Rhinolophus ferrumequinum: one gene and its partner. The protein of the gene in region 2 interacts with the protein of the main gene of each other region in a pairwise test. Links are inferred from orthologs where the notes say so. Each region holds a gene or a part of one and is shown on either strand. Other genes may lie near its edges.

The links.
Region 1: the proteins of MTUS2 (region 2) and PRKAA2 interact in binary tests that used the Homo sapiens proteins (3 or more experiments, as listed by UniProt). The link is inferred for Rhinolophus ferrumequinum from reciprocal best matches to the Homo sapiens genes MTUS2 and PRKAA2.

Annotation. Positions count from the first base shown.
Region 1 is NC_046292.1:40,695,420-40,702,542, forward strand, and holds the start of PRKAA2 (5'-AMP-activated protein kinase catalytic subunit alpha-2), read left to right. Parts: upstream 1-4,106; 5' UTR 4,107-4,192; coding exon 4,193-4,286; intron 4,287-4,456; exon of another isoform or gene 4,457-4,592; intron 4,593-4,623; exon of another isoform or gene 4,624-4,759; intron 4,760-7,123. UniProt on the Homo sapiens protein: Catalytic subunit of AMP-activated protein kinase (AMPK), an energy sensor protein kinase that plays a key role in regulating cellular energy metabolism.
Region 2 is NC_046287.1:100,557,889-100,564,887, reverse strand, and holds the start of MTUS2 (microtubule-associated tumor suppressor candidate 2), read right to left. Parts: upstream 3,046-6,999; 5' UTR 2,739-3,045; intron 1-2,738. UniProt on the Homo sapiens protein: Binds microtubules. Together with MAPRE1 may target the microtubule depolymerase KIF2C to the plus-end of microtubules. May regulate the dynamics of microtubules at their growing distal tip.

The sequences.
Region 1 (7,123 bases), on a different chromosome or scaffold from region 2:
AATAATGTATCTGGTTATTTGCTTTAAAACACCCCAGGAAACAAAGCAATTTGAAATGTGCAGGTAGATTGATGCGAAGGTAGATTGGTAAATGTTGACAATGTCGCTAATCATTGACATATTATCGTTCTTTGGTGTATGTTTACAGATTTTCATAATAGAAATAAAAAAGAAGTAATTATTTGGCTTGTATTACATATAAGATATCATCAACACACTTCATTAATCACTGAGTGTCTAGGTTTTTTTTTATGGTAGACTGGAGAACAATAACAGAAACACCTTATCATGAATCTATAAGGTCCAGTATGTTCTGGCTGATGCCTAACTCCAACCACACTAGTGACTCCTACCTACCCCAAGATGGAAAATTATGCTTTGTATTTAACAGTTATATGCATAAAATGAACTTATTAAGTTTGACTTCTTTTTAAAGTGCTCTTCCCTGTGTTCTTGTTCCTTAATTCCATAGGTTAATAACCATCTTCTTTATTTCAATTCAACAAATATTTCTGGAATGATGTACCAAGTTCCGTTGGGCCCTAGAAACAGCAGATGGAGTATGTTGTTTATATATACGTATATATATACATATATATAAAATATTAATTTAGACATGAAATATATATATATATATATAAAATAACAGAATCGATAGATGCTGTATTAGCGATATGAAAAAAGTGCTATGGGAATCCTGAAGCGAAATATGCAGTCAAAAAAATCAATCACTTTAGAGGAAGGACAGAATTATCTTTCTATTCTCTCTATAAAAAATGTTACAAAATATGAAGAGGCAATCAAAGAATATACAACCAAAAAATATAGAAAATAAGCATTATAAAGATATGTGGGATAGTTAATTTATATAGATTTTTTTTTTCTGAATTCGGGGATGTTTGTGTTGTCAGTTTAAAAATTATTTGTAGATAGTTTATTTCATTTCAAAGAAATATTTGCTTTCATGACCAATTTTGCATTTTTTTTCCCCATAAAGAGGACCCCCACATTGTATAAACATTAGATGTCACACAGCCCGAATCTACTCAGGTGCCTATAATTTATTTGTAAGGCACTGTTCTGGGAACTGAGGATAACAGCAGTGAACAAAATAGAGAAAAACACTCTCGTGAAGCTTACATTCTACTTGGGAGAGACAGACAAAACAAAAAAAACAGAGTAAACAAGTAAATAGTATGTTAGACAGAGCTGAGGAAGTTAAGGGGATGGAGAGTTCAGGGCAGGGAGTATGAGTGAGGTGAAACTGCAATAAATAGGACTGGTCAGAGCCGGTAGGCCTCACGCAGAAGGTGACCCTGAGAAGACTTGAAGGAACTGGTTGTTGATAATACCAGTGGAATGTAGTTTATTAGATTAGTGGTACTCCATTATTCTCCTATCCAGGCCTTGCTTTAGAATATTTGAAGTAAAGTAACCCCAAAGACCCAGTAGTAGGAGGGTAAAGCAGTAATAGTTGGAATAGGGTTAAGAAGTAAATAGCTGCCTGGTCCACTGAATCTCAGAGATTGGTACTAAATAACACATGGACACGAAAACATCATTGGAAAATAATAAAGTGGGGAATATTGTGCTTACCAGAACATCTTTAGGGAGTGAATCCTCAAGGGGCATGACTGTTAAGGAGATTTGGTCTGATTAACTGTCATACTGTATTGCTCTGTAGGGAGAGGCAAGGATGGAACCATATCTAAAATGTTCAGGGCACTAGAAGGCTGAGTGCTGCCAGACGTTGTCCTTTTCCACCCTTCTCACCCACTTAACATTCAACCTTTTCTCTAAAAGAGCTAAAGGTCAGGAAAAGAGCTAAAAATATAAATTTAAAGGGCATATTATTGGCCTGTCCTAGAAATAAAAAACAAAAAAATCAAAAAAACAAGAATGGGACTACAATTGTGAAGATTTTAAACTTACACGGAGCACCACGTTTTTATAGGCAGCTGTGGTATAGTAGAGGTAAAGGGTAGGTCAAAACTAGATGTGAGGTCTGACTCTGCCACTTAGCTGATTAGCCTTGGACAAATCAGAAAGGGAAAAACTAAGTTTTATTATCTATAAAATGGGGATAATCATAAGTTTCTTTTATGACAATTAAATGAGATACTTGTGTTTAAATGAACTTTTTAATCAACAAAGTATCATACATTTGTTTGACATAAAAATAAAGGTAGTTCATTGTAGCTAGGTAAGGATCATTGTTACGACATGTATAATAACGTAAGTTGTAATTATCAACAAATAGTTAAGACAGTGCAAAATGCCTTAAAATATCTATTTATAGTCTGTCTTCATGTAGCTTCAAGAAAACAATCTAATAGACTTTTCAACATCTTCTAACGGAATGTTAGCACAAGAGACAGACATACATCTTATATCGCAAAAACTGAAGAGGTATTTTGTTTTCTCATTCATCTGAATGAACACTGGAGGAGTGACCCTACCAAATGAAAGTTTAGTATCTAAAATAACTGGCTATTTTCTCCAAATTGCCAGCTAGGTAGAGTGATTCTTAATGATACTTCTTGTCAGCAAGAAAGATGATCGCAAGAATGAATAAAAATAGCCTCTGTTCAACAGCTGTGATATCTATAATTTATAAGCTGTGATCATTTCTCATCAGATTGTTTTGGTGTGTAAACAAGAATGATGTATGTGTGCCATTTGTGTATTTATCGTTTCTTAAAAAACCAATTTTTGTTACCTCGCATTCTTTCTGATCAATACGTTTCTCTCTTTACATATAAACAGTGTGGTAAGTGACTTCTTGTTTGAGGAATGTGACTTTGAAACTCTATTGTCATACACAATGTTTAAAATGTTCAACTAATCCTTACACATTATTATCAAGCAGCCAATATTTTTTCAGCACTGTTAAGATAGGCAACATTAAAGAATAGGACAAGAAAGGGAGGTAGGGAGGGAAGGATATATAATCACTTCATTACTAAATTCTTGTCAGTCTAGTTTCCTCTCACCATTTTTCCCCCCACTTCTATCTTTATCACATTTATTCTTTCATTAATTTGTGCATTTAAATTGCCCTTGCTTTCTTTAAAATTAAAGTTTATTGGGGTGACAACTGTTAGTAGAGTTACATAAACTTCAGGTTTACAATTCTATAATACATCATCTATATATCACATTGTGTGTCCACCACCCAGAGTCAGTTCTCTTTCCATCACCATGTACAGGAAATTGCCCTTGCTTTTAACAATTTCTCTTTGCCCCTATGTATTTTACTTTCTATGCTCACTGCATTCAGTTTCCCTTTTCATTTCTTTCACTGTTTCTGCACAGTTCCATCGCAAACTATTCGACGCTATGTATTAATATAAGCATGTGCTAAAACACAATTGAGCAAATATGCGGCTGTGATTTATTGGAGAATGTTGTGCAAATTAGAATTGAGAGCTCGGGAGGAGAGCGTCTCTTCCACCTATAGGAGAAAATAATCGAGAATTATAATATACGTGGCGGACGACTGAATGGAGCACAGATTTGAGTTCTCCATGTGCCGTGACCTGTATCTCAAACACTCAGCCTGAGCGACTTCCTTGAGGCTCCCTGACTGCTCCCGAATCAAGGCCTTTCCCGTCGCCTCCTACCCAACTTCCCTTCGACTCACGTAGTCGTTTCTACATCTCCTCTCTCCCCACTCTTTGGGTCTGTTTGTCTTTTTTAAAATTCTACTTCCAATCTCTTTCCATTCCCTAGGATTCGGCCCAAATCTCACCCTCACATTGTCCCTCCCTTCGGTGTTCCCCATAATGGGCCCCTATAGCCCACTCTCGCCCTCCAGCCTCTCCCCCAGGTAAAGGGGCGCGGTCCCCTGCACCCCGACCTCGCACACCTGTCATCCTCCGACCCCGCGCCCCCCGCTCGGGGACCCCTCCCTCGCTGGGCGCCCGGGTCCAGCCCCCACTGTCGCCGCCTGTCGCGGGGGCCCCGCGCATTCGCCCCCGCGCCCCGCCCGCCGCTCGCGGGCCTTCCCCACCTGGTCCCTGCCCCCCCGCCCGGCGCCCCCGGCCTCCCCGCGCCGCGGCCCCGGCCCTGCCCCCCGCCCCCACCGCGGGCCCGCTGCACTGTGGGTAAGCGGCGGCGGCGGCGGCGGCCGCACTCGGGAGCCCGCGGCGGCGGCGGCGGCGGCGGCGGAGCCCGGCTGCGCGCGCTGAACATGGCTGAGAAGCAGAAGCACGACGGGCGGGTGAAGATCGGCCACTACGTGCTGGGGGACACACTGGGCGTCGGCACCTTCGGCAAAGTGAAGAGTGAGTACGCGCCCGCGGCGCTGCGGCGGGCCGAGCTGCGGGGGCCCCGGAGCCCCGGAGCCCCGGGCCTGGCGGCAGGTGGGGCGGCCCCGGGCCGCGCGGAGCTGGGGGCCCCGGGAGGGCGGGGGGCAGCGCTGGGCTCCGCCTGGCCCCGCAGCGGCGGCTGGAGCCGGGCAGCGGGCGGGGGATCGGCGCCCGGGTTCTGGGGCCGGCGCCCAGCTGCCTGGCGGGTGTCGGGGAGCAAGGCGCTCCTGCCTCCCGGACCTCGGCGCCCTGTCCTCCGAAAGCGGGAGAGTGGGCTGCTCGGTAAGGCGCCCTCGGCTCTGAGACCGTATGGGTAGGGCTGGGGGATGACATCCGTCACTGATGATTTCCAGTTCCCGTGTCGTGCCAGGTGCCCTGTTCGGTGCTTGACGTGTGATTTCATTTAATCCTAACAGCAACTTGCTGAAGCTGTCATCCTCACCTCGAAGGTGAGAAAACGGGGACCCCTAGAGGTTTAGGACAGTGCCCAAGGTCACACAGAAATTGGCAGAACCAGGATGAAGTGCAAAATGTCTTCCAGTTCTGGCCAGGCTGGAGGTCCTTGCCATCCTGATTCTTTCGTGCTCCAAGACTCTGCGTTGGTGCGGCTGACTGTTTAGGGGATGTTTGGGGGCCGAGTGGTGGGTCGGTCTTTCTGCTGGGCGTGTGAACCGCTGGAATGCAGCTGGATTGGGCCGGGTTAATTACAACGGGCAAGTCTGAAGGTTGGTTGGCGTGTGTACAGTGGTTCTAGGAAGGCTTCTGGGATGAGGGGAGAAAAAAGTTTCCTTGGTGTCGGACCCAGTGAGGTGTGGGGCCGAGGAGGCCAGAACCGCTAAAGCGGATTCTGCTAAGGTCTGTTTTGTTGATGATGAGAGACCATTTTGGATGTAGAAAAACAGGCTGCTATCGGAATTTTTCCTCCATGCTAGTTAACTATTAAACTTTCCTTTTTGTTGTTGTTAACAGGAGTCACATGGGATTTAATTAATTTGTCCTCTTTCCAGAACTAGAACCAGCTTATTAAAAATACTTTGTTTGATTGTTGCAAATCCAGAATTATAAGTAGAATGTTGGCTGTTTAATTCTTTTTGCTTTGGATAGACAGTTTGGAGATTTTATTCTGAGACCTCTATTTCCTTTAAAATTCATATTTTCATCTTAAATCTATTCAATAGAAGAAACGTAGTGTTCATTCCTGTTGCCAGAATCAGCTCTTATTTCCTTACACATATCTGATACCCTTTCAGAAATACAGTTTGTTCAGAAAATACCGATTGAGCACCTCCAATGTGCTAGGCACTGCTGTAGAGAATAGGGATCCAGCAAGGAACAAATCCAGATTAAAATCCCTCCTTTGGTGGAGTTCATATTAGTAGGGGAAGACAATAATCACAGTGTATATGTAAAATGCATAGTATGTTTAGTGCTATTGAGAGAAATGAATCAGGGAAGGGAGGCTAGGGAGTTTTGTTTGGTTAGCAATTTTCAATAAGGTGTCAGGCAAGAACTCACAGACAAGGTGGGGTGTGTGTCCAGGCCTTAAAAGGTGGTAAAATTCTTTGAAGTCCCATGAGGGCTGTGAACTTTTGGGTTGTTTTGGAAAGACCTCATAAATAGAGTGGGTAGTGAGCATATGTTTTAAAATGAATATAGGAAGATCTAGGGATTGGATTGATGCCTGAAACATTACTTGTCATTAAACGGTATTGCTGAGGACTGTTGTGTTTCAGCATGATGCAATTACTCCATCAAATGGTGCATTTGCTATCTGGACATGTATGTACACTCTCAAAGTTAGATAACTTATCCTATGTCCTAAATTGTGTTAACATTTTTGTTTGTTTCTTTAAATTCTTCAACTGTAACATGAATATAGACTAAAACACCCATCACATCAATTGGCCCATTGTCAAGGGACAACTTAAATCTCTTTTGTATGTGTTACTCTTGAGCTGCTTCCAGGCACTGGCTTCTTAAAATATAAACAAACAGAAGGTGCTTTGATTTATGAGAAATCCTTTGCCTGGAGGACCCCTGTCCAATGAGCAACCATGCGGAGGGGTGTCCTAACACTATGTTAGAATCTCTCTAAAGTTAGATTGTGGTTTTTCCATCCACGATTCGAATTAGTACAATTGTTTGTTTAATACAAATTATAGAAGTTGCTACAATCTAAAGTTACTCATTTAATTCTTCAAGGGACAAGAAACAAAAGCACATGCATTTTTAAAAAGAACTTTGTTAGGTATATTGTACATATTATAACGTTAACTCATTCCAAGTGTACAATTCATTGATTTTTAGTAACTTGACCAAGTGGTGCAACCTTCATCATAGATCAATTTTCGAACATTTTTATCACCACAGTAGGATCACTTATGCCCATTTTTAGTTAATCCTCTTTCCTACCCTCAGCCCCAGAAAACTACTAATATGTTTTCTGTCGGTATAAATTTGCGTTCTCTGGACATTTCTTATAACTGGGATTATTCAATATGGAGTCTGTCATGTCTAGCTTCTTTAACAATGTTGTTGAGGTGCATGTACGACATAGCATGTGTTAGTAGCTTGTTCCTTTTTATTGCTGAATAATATTCCAGTGTGTGGGAAGGCCACATTCTGTCTACACATTCATTGATGGACATTGTTTTCAGTTTTGGGTTCTTACAAATAATGCCACCACAAACTCTACTTCACATCTAAGTCTCTGTGTGGACATACGCTTTTATGTGTCTTGGAGATATAACTAGGAATAGTTATATCCCAGGTCATATCATAGTTTTATGTTTAGCTTTTTGAGAAACTGCAAA
Region 2 (6,999 bases):
GTGGTGGCTATAATACGGCTCCCATTTACTCATACAAACTGCTATTAAGAACAAGTTGATTGTTCATCCTAGTCCTTCCCAACCCGCATCTGTTTCTTGCAAGATATTTTCCAGGCCTGAGTTTGCTCACTGTTTAAAATTCCTATTAGAAACAGATGCTAAGGAGGTTACAAAAAGATCTCCCATAGAGCTGATGCTATCTGTTCCTGTTAACTTTGTATTAATGAAGCATGTTTGGGTAATTTTCTCCCCCTTCCCCTGGCAGTCCACCTCTGAGATGTGGAAGGGGTTTAACCCACTTTCCTCCCTTCCCTGTTCTGCCTCCAGCTCACACTCAGATCAAGAGAGTCCCTATTTGTGTGAGATCCCAGGCACAGCTGCTTCTCCAGGTAACCACCTGATCTCAGGAGCTCTACACAGCCTTAGGTTATAGCAATTTGCATTTTCTCAGCAGGTCAACTACGGTACTGGCCAGATTTCTTATTTTGTCTTTTCCTAAAACTACAGGCATTAAAATAAGGAAAAGCATTTTTGTAAGTTAACATTTGAACATAATTTGGAGACAGGGCAGATTTAGGGTGCACGGGGCCTTACATTTAGATAATGGGAGGTGGGAGTGGAGTGGGGAAAAGTGTCCTCATTTAATAAGAATCCAAAATTATCAATATACACATGGTATGACCATGTGAGCATATTGCTAGTGGCCCTCCCAGGGGCTCGGAAGAAGCCTAAGGGGGGGGCCTGTGGCTTACGATTCATTAGCTTCCCAGCCAATCCACCTCTGCTGGGAGATATAAAAGACTAGAGAGGTTTATACCGCAGCACTCAAATCTGTAGAAACCTGCTAAGCATAACAGTCTTATGTTACATCAGTCCTCTAGATACTATTCTTATCTCTCTTTCACAAACCTCCACCCGCTGCTCCCTCTAATTTGATGGCAGCAATTCATTATAAAAGTGCGTGGGCTGGGCTGGGCTTTAACAATCCAGTACTGTGCCAATTATGCAATAGCCAAAACAGCCAGTTTAATGGAGTACGAAAAGCAAAGTCGGAGTTCTTACATAAGCCTTCATACACCATCCATAAGATCTGCTCCCAGACTGGAGTCTCTGGAATTACATAAGGTAGATGGAAAACACTGATTCAGCAGCCAGGTTTATTTCTGACCTTAAAAACAATCAAAGCTTTTTGCATTTAATTTACTAGTCTCTATTAACATACGTTTTTAATTTGATGGAGAAAACAATCTTTAATAAGACTTGCCATCTTTTCATATAAACATAAAGGGACAGCCTGACACTGCTACTCAACTTCCCTGTCACCTGTGCACAAAGAAATGTCCCACTTAGGATGCCCCTACATATTCAACACGAAATTACGGGTCTCTGATAAACATCAACTACTCTTTGCCAGTTTAAAAAAAAAAAAAAAAATCAAGAAAGATACTTAGACAAAAATACAAAAGTGTACATGCTATAATTCTTCAACACATGTCCTTTCCAATACCATTTTTCTCTTCCCCATATTTTTAACCACTTATTTATTTATTTTTTTGTTTTACTTACTTTAAACCACTGTAGCCACACCTGGGGCTACAAAGTGACAAATTTTAAAACACAATGCTAGCCAATGGGTCTCACCCCTGGCTACACATGACAACAACCAACAGAGCTTTTAACATTACAAATGCCACAGCATCACCCAAAACCAATTAGAATGAAATACTGGGGTAGGGCGCAAAAGGGGGTGCCTGACATCCGTATATCTGATGCTTTCTACTTTTGTCTTCTTACCTGAAAATAACCATAAATATGATAGCAGGTTTGGGGGTAGGAGATCTTTAGTAACTGGCAGCTCATAATTACTAAGTTTCCATCAGCTATAAAAGTAAACTCGTGCTATAGATTAAAAGCTATAAAGGATATCTGTGGGATCCTTTTTTATTACTATTGATAAGTAGTCAAAAATTTTTCACCAAGTTTCTTAATGGCCTTTACAAAACCTACCTTATTTTTTAATGTTTAACAATTCTACCTAATGAGTTCAAAGACAGGGCCCTATACTATCTTAAAGGGTGTCTCAAGCTAAGATCATGCTTATCTTCAAGTAAAGTTTTGGTTTAAAGTAGAAATGATGGTTCTCACCTATCTTCACCCTCCCTTCTTAGATGCTCTGATAATCCCATTTATAACTTTACCAATTAGCAAATATGTTTTTCAAGCCCTTACATAACAGAGAGTACAGGCGCCTTTGGTATCCTGCCAAGAGTACTTCTTGCCGTGTTTGTATTTAAAATAGAATGGTAGTAACATCGCTTGTGTGCCTGAAATTCCTTCTGTGCACAGGCTCCGAATGAGAAAATGGATGTAGCAAACCGCTTCGCTGCTTTACCATTATAAAGCTCAAAGGAAAGAATACAGACTAAATTAAGACGAAGACACAGAATTACCCAAAGCTGGGGGCAGGGAAGGGGGCTCGGTTTAACTAACCTACCATCCCCTCCAAGACCGAGGATGTTTAACCTGGCAGCACGCGAAGGTGCCAAACGAGCTGCAACACCTCCGCCCCAGCAGGGAATGTGGCAGGCCAGAATAAGTGCCACGATGACAGAAAAGCCAAATAAACGCTGCGCTGCCCGCCCCGGCTGCGATCACTCCCCAACGCCGGCACCTGTCTTCCCGCGGGTTCCAGAAGGCAGGACCAGAGCCCAGCCCTGAGTGCTGAAGGATGCGCTCACCTGGGTGGGAAAGAGCCAAGAAAGGTGTCCAAGAAGCCACCACTGCTTTAATGGACTCTCATCCCGGACCGGTTCCGACACGCTCCCTCCTCTTCTTCCTCCTCCAGCTCGAGTTTTCTATTTAACGACAGGTCGGGACTCCACTGACCGGCAAAGGATGTCCTCAAAGGGGGGCGACAAACTTGCCAAGAGAAGCCGGCAGACGTGGCGCAGGTGGAGAGCAAGGGACGCCCCCGCACCTGGGGCCGGCTCGTCAACGCTGTCCCCACGGTCGCGCAGGCCCCGCCCAGGCCGCCGCCCGCTCCGAGCGCCGGGGCAGCGGGGGACGCGCACGGGGGCCGTCGACGGGGCGCCGGGGCGCTGCCCTCCCGGCCGCTGCAGCGCTGTCCCTGCGGCCGCCTCCGACGGACAAAGGGAAGCCGCGGAGCGGCGGCGGCGAAGCCCGGGCTCCGGAGCGCACCGCGCAGCCCGCGCAGCTCGTGAGGTGCGGGCCGCGGTGACAGCCGCCGGGCGGCGAGCGGGCCCCCGCGGGAGGGCGGCGGGGACGGCAGCGGCGCGCACCCTCGCGGCCGCCGGGAGACGCACACGGCGGGGCCCCGGACGCCTCCTCCCGGCCCCGCGGTCCGCAGCCCCGCCGCCGGGAGCCGTAGCGCCCTCTGCCGGCCACGCGGCCGCCGTACGCGCGCCATCTGCTCCATCTCCCCGCGGGCTCGTGGGCGCCCAGCGACATCGCGGTCCCCGAGCGAACCCGCGACTTCAGGGGAAGCAAGGGGTAAGACAGGAGGCGGGGGCTACAGGGCAGGGAGCTGCGCACAGTGGGATCTGCTGTTACCCTCTTGGGAAGGAAGAGGGAGCATCTTCGAATTAGGAGCAGCAGGATGAGTTAGGATTCAGCAGTGGGAAGAACTTGGAGGGCGGGAGGATTCCCGGTGCTCAAGGAGCCCAGAGTTGATCTCTGGAAATGTCTCCGGAAAAGGCAGGCGTTTCTTTCTAGAACCAGGTTTATGTCTGTGTTTAACAAGCACCAACTGTGCCTAACTCTGTTCGAGAGGTTCTAGAGAACCTTGACACCTCTGATGAATAAATATATTAATGACTTCCCGAGGACCCTTCCAGTCCTGCGTGAAATGCTCCCCGCTGCCCTAAGCAGTGCTCCTAGAAGGTTTGGAAAGGCAGGCGAGGTCAGAGAGCTTCAGCTTCCTCTGGTTCCCACAGCAGGGGAATAGACATCTACCATTATGAAAAGGAAATGCTGGGGCTGGTCTTTGCACTATTTAGGTGTTTTTTTAAGGTGGGGTCATTTTTCCAAACTACCATGTTAAGCAATATTTTATACCAGTTAATTTTATTAACAAGCTGGACTATTTGGTGAAATCATGAAGCAGCACCTTTTTTTTCCACACCACTGTCTTTTTAAATTATTCTATCAGATCTCCCTTCTCCTCTAGCAGAATCTAGGGCAGATTTCATAGCTTTTCCTGTCACTTTCAGGTGTTAATCAGCAGTCTGATTCTCCGGTATTAAAAAGTCCAGTCCAATTCAAATCAAAGCGTCAGTCCCATTCCACTTAAGCCTTCCCCAGACAGCTCCCACACCCACCAGCTCCCATCCTGACCCAAGCTCAGAGCCTGCCTGGGGAAGAGAAACGTCACTTTTTCCTTTCTTGTTCTACATCCTCCCAGCTAGCCCTGTGAAGACTGATGCTTCCAGGGTGGCAGGGTGAGACTTGTCCCCTGCACCAGGCCCTGGTCCTCGCTTCCAAGTCCGCTTTCTCCTCCAGTAGTCCCTTCACACAGACCCTCTGCAAGGTCACCATTGTGGCAGATCCCACTATGTTCCACCATGTCTGTACAGGTCACTGTGACAGCAGAATACCGTCCTCATTCCCTGGTCACAGGCAGCTCTGACCAGCCTCTCTCCTTGAAGCTTCTCGTGTAGGAGTCAGGCAGCCATCTCTGGACTCATGCATGTCCCCAAACCCAGGTGATACATGCCAAGCAGTACACGTTCTTTTGCATGAAGTAGCTGTTATACTCTGCTCTCCCTCACAGCACCCTATAATTCTCACTGCCCGCCTTCTCCCTGACCTCTCTCCCCTTTCCTTCAATTTGGGCTGACGGCGGCAGAACCCTTACTCAGCATATCATACAAAGGTGGGCCAATGCCGCTATTTGAAATGTGGAGACACCTCTTTCTGTGGCAGCCACGGAGGCATGCCACTCAAATCTCAAGAGTATAAGTGACAGCCTCCAGCTGGCACACCTTTGGATCCAGCATGGCGCTCACACCAAGGTCACACATCCTGCCATCTGTTCCCAGCCCATGGCTAAGTCTGATGGGAGAGCTGGAGCTGGGCTGTTTCTGCCTGGCGCAGGACCCCTCTACTGGGCGGTGTTTGTTCCAGAACTCCCCATCACCCGAGCCCTGCAGTCTGGAGCTCTGTCTATCCAGCCTCCCTCCCATCCTTTCACAGATGTCAGCTCCGTATCATAGTTGGAAAGCAATCCTCACCCACACGCCAACCTCCTTCTCCCTCCTCCACTACCCCATACAGGTGTTTTCTCAACATTTCTTCTGCACATCTAACCCTTCTTGGCATCTGCCTCTCAAAGGTCTCCAACTGGCACAGTCATCTAATGTTCCCAGCAGGTATTCTAAGACAAGTCCCATTTTAACACTTGGTTATGCTTGTATTTAGAAACTGTGAAAATAAGAGTAGAATGTTCTTTTGTGGGGACAATGAAAAAACGATCAGTATAGCCGCCCACCCACCCAAGCGGAAGCTGAATAGGAGTTGGATGCAGAGAGGTTCTTATTGTAGGTGAGCCCAGGAAGCAGTAGTGATGAAATTGAAAGATTGAGACAGGGAAGCACGAAAAGTCACTACAAAGATGTGTTATCAAGGTCACTGCTATTCACAACAGGTGCTCAGTACAGCAGGATCTCTGAGAAGCTTAGAAAGTCTTCCCAGAATTGTCGTTTCAAAGACAGGGGCTGAGCAGTGACCATCTGGCTCCTATTCTCTGTGTATTGGAGCTGCCTTTGGGGCTTTAACTCCCACAAAATTCCAGTCACCCAGAGTTTTAGAAAAGACCCTGCAGCATCCTTTTATTGGGGGGGGGAGAGATTCAGGGGCATCATCAGCTTGAGTTGCAGCTCGCAGGAGGTCCAAGAGCAGCCAAGGAGATGTGGTACAGGACATCAAAAGTGTCTGCTACAGCAGGTATCACAGATTCCCACTGACTTCCCAGACTGAGGGGCACACAGGTAGTCAAAGGCATCTGCCCTGTGTAATTCCAAGTTGCTGAAATGTCCGTGGAAAAAGACAGAGGAAGAAAGGGTAGGGCAGTGTTTGCAAGTCATGATGACACTTGGCAGGGGACTGGTGTCTTAGTTCATTCGGGCTGCTGTAACGAAAATACCACAGACTGGGTGGCTTATAAACAACAGACATTTATTTCTCACAGTTCTGGAGGCTGGAAGTCTAAGGTCAAGATGCTGACAGATTTGGTGTCTGGTAAGAGCCAGCTTTCTAGACAGCCGTCCTTTCACTGTAACCTCAGGATGGACAGCGTAAGGGAGTTCTCTGGGGTCTCTTTCATAAGGGCACTAATCCATACATGGGGGTTCTACCCTCATGACCTACTCACCTCCCAAAGGCCCCGCCTCCTAATACTGTCACATTGGGGGGTAGGTTTCAACACATTCTGGGGGGGCACAAACATTCAGATGATAGCAACGGGTTTACCACACCTCAGGATGTTACTAGGGGTCAGAAACTGTGGGAAGAAGGAGGCCAGGATCAGACAGAGGGAGTAACTAGACTGTAATTCAAGTCCGACAAAGCCTCAGCCAGACCAGGGGAGCTCTGGAGCACATACAGACTGGTGTGCCCGAGGCTGTTCACAGCAGCTTGCAGGCACCAATTATTCAATGTCTTGGAATTTTGTCAGCCAGTAGTTAAACACAGCCATCATCGAAGATTAAATTATATAAACTTATAATTTTATGTATATTATATTAAAAACAAAGTTAACTCTTCATCACTCATTATTCTGCTATGTGTATAAGGTCTGACAATTAAGTTCGAGGACTTGTTGCAACGATGTTGCTAACTTTTTTGATATCAGAGGGGTTATTCATTAGGAATTTGTACCCACTGGACAGTTAACCAAGTTTACTATTAGTGAAAAGTGCTGAAAAGGCTGCATGAAAATGTTAGACGAAAACTACCTGAATTTTTCACCAACAAATTCATGGC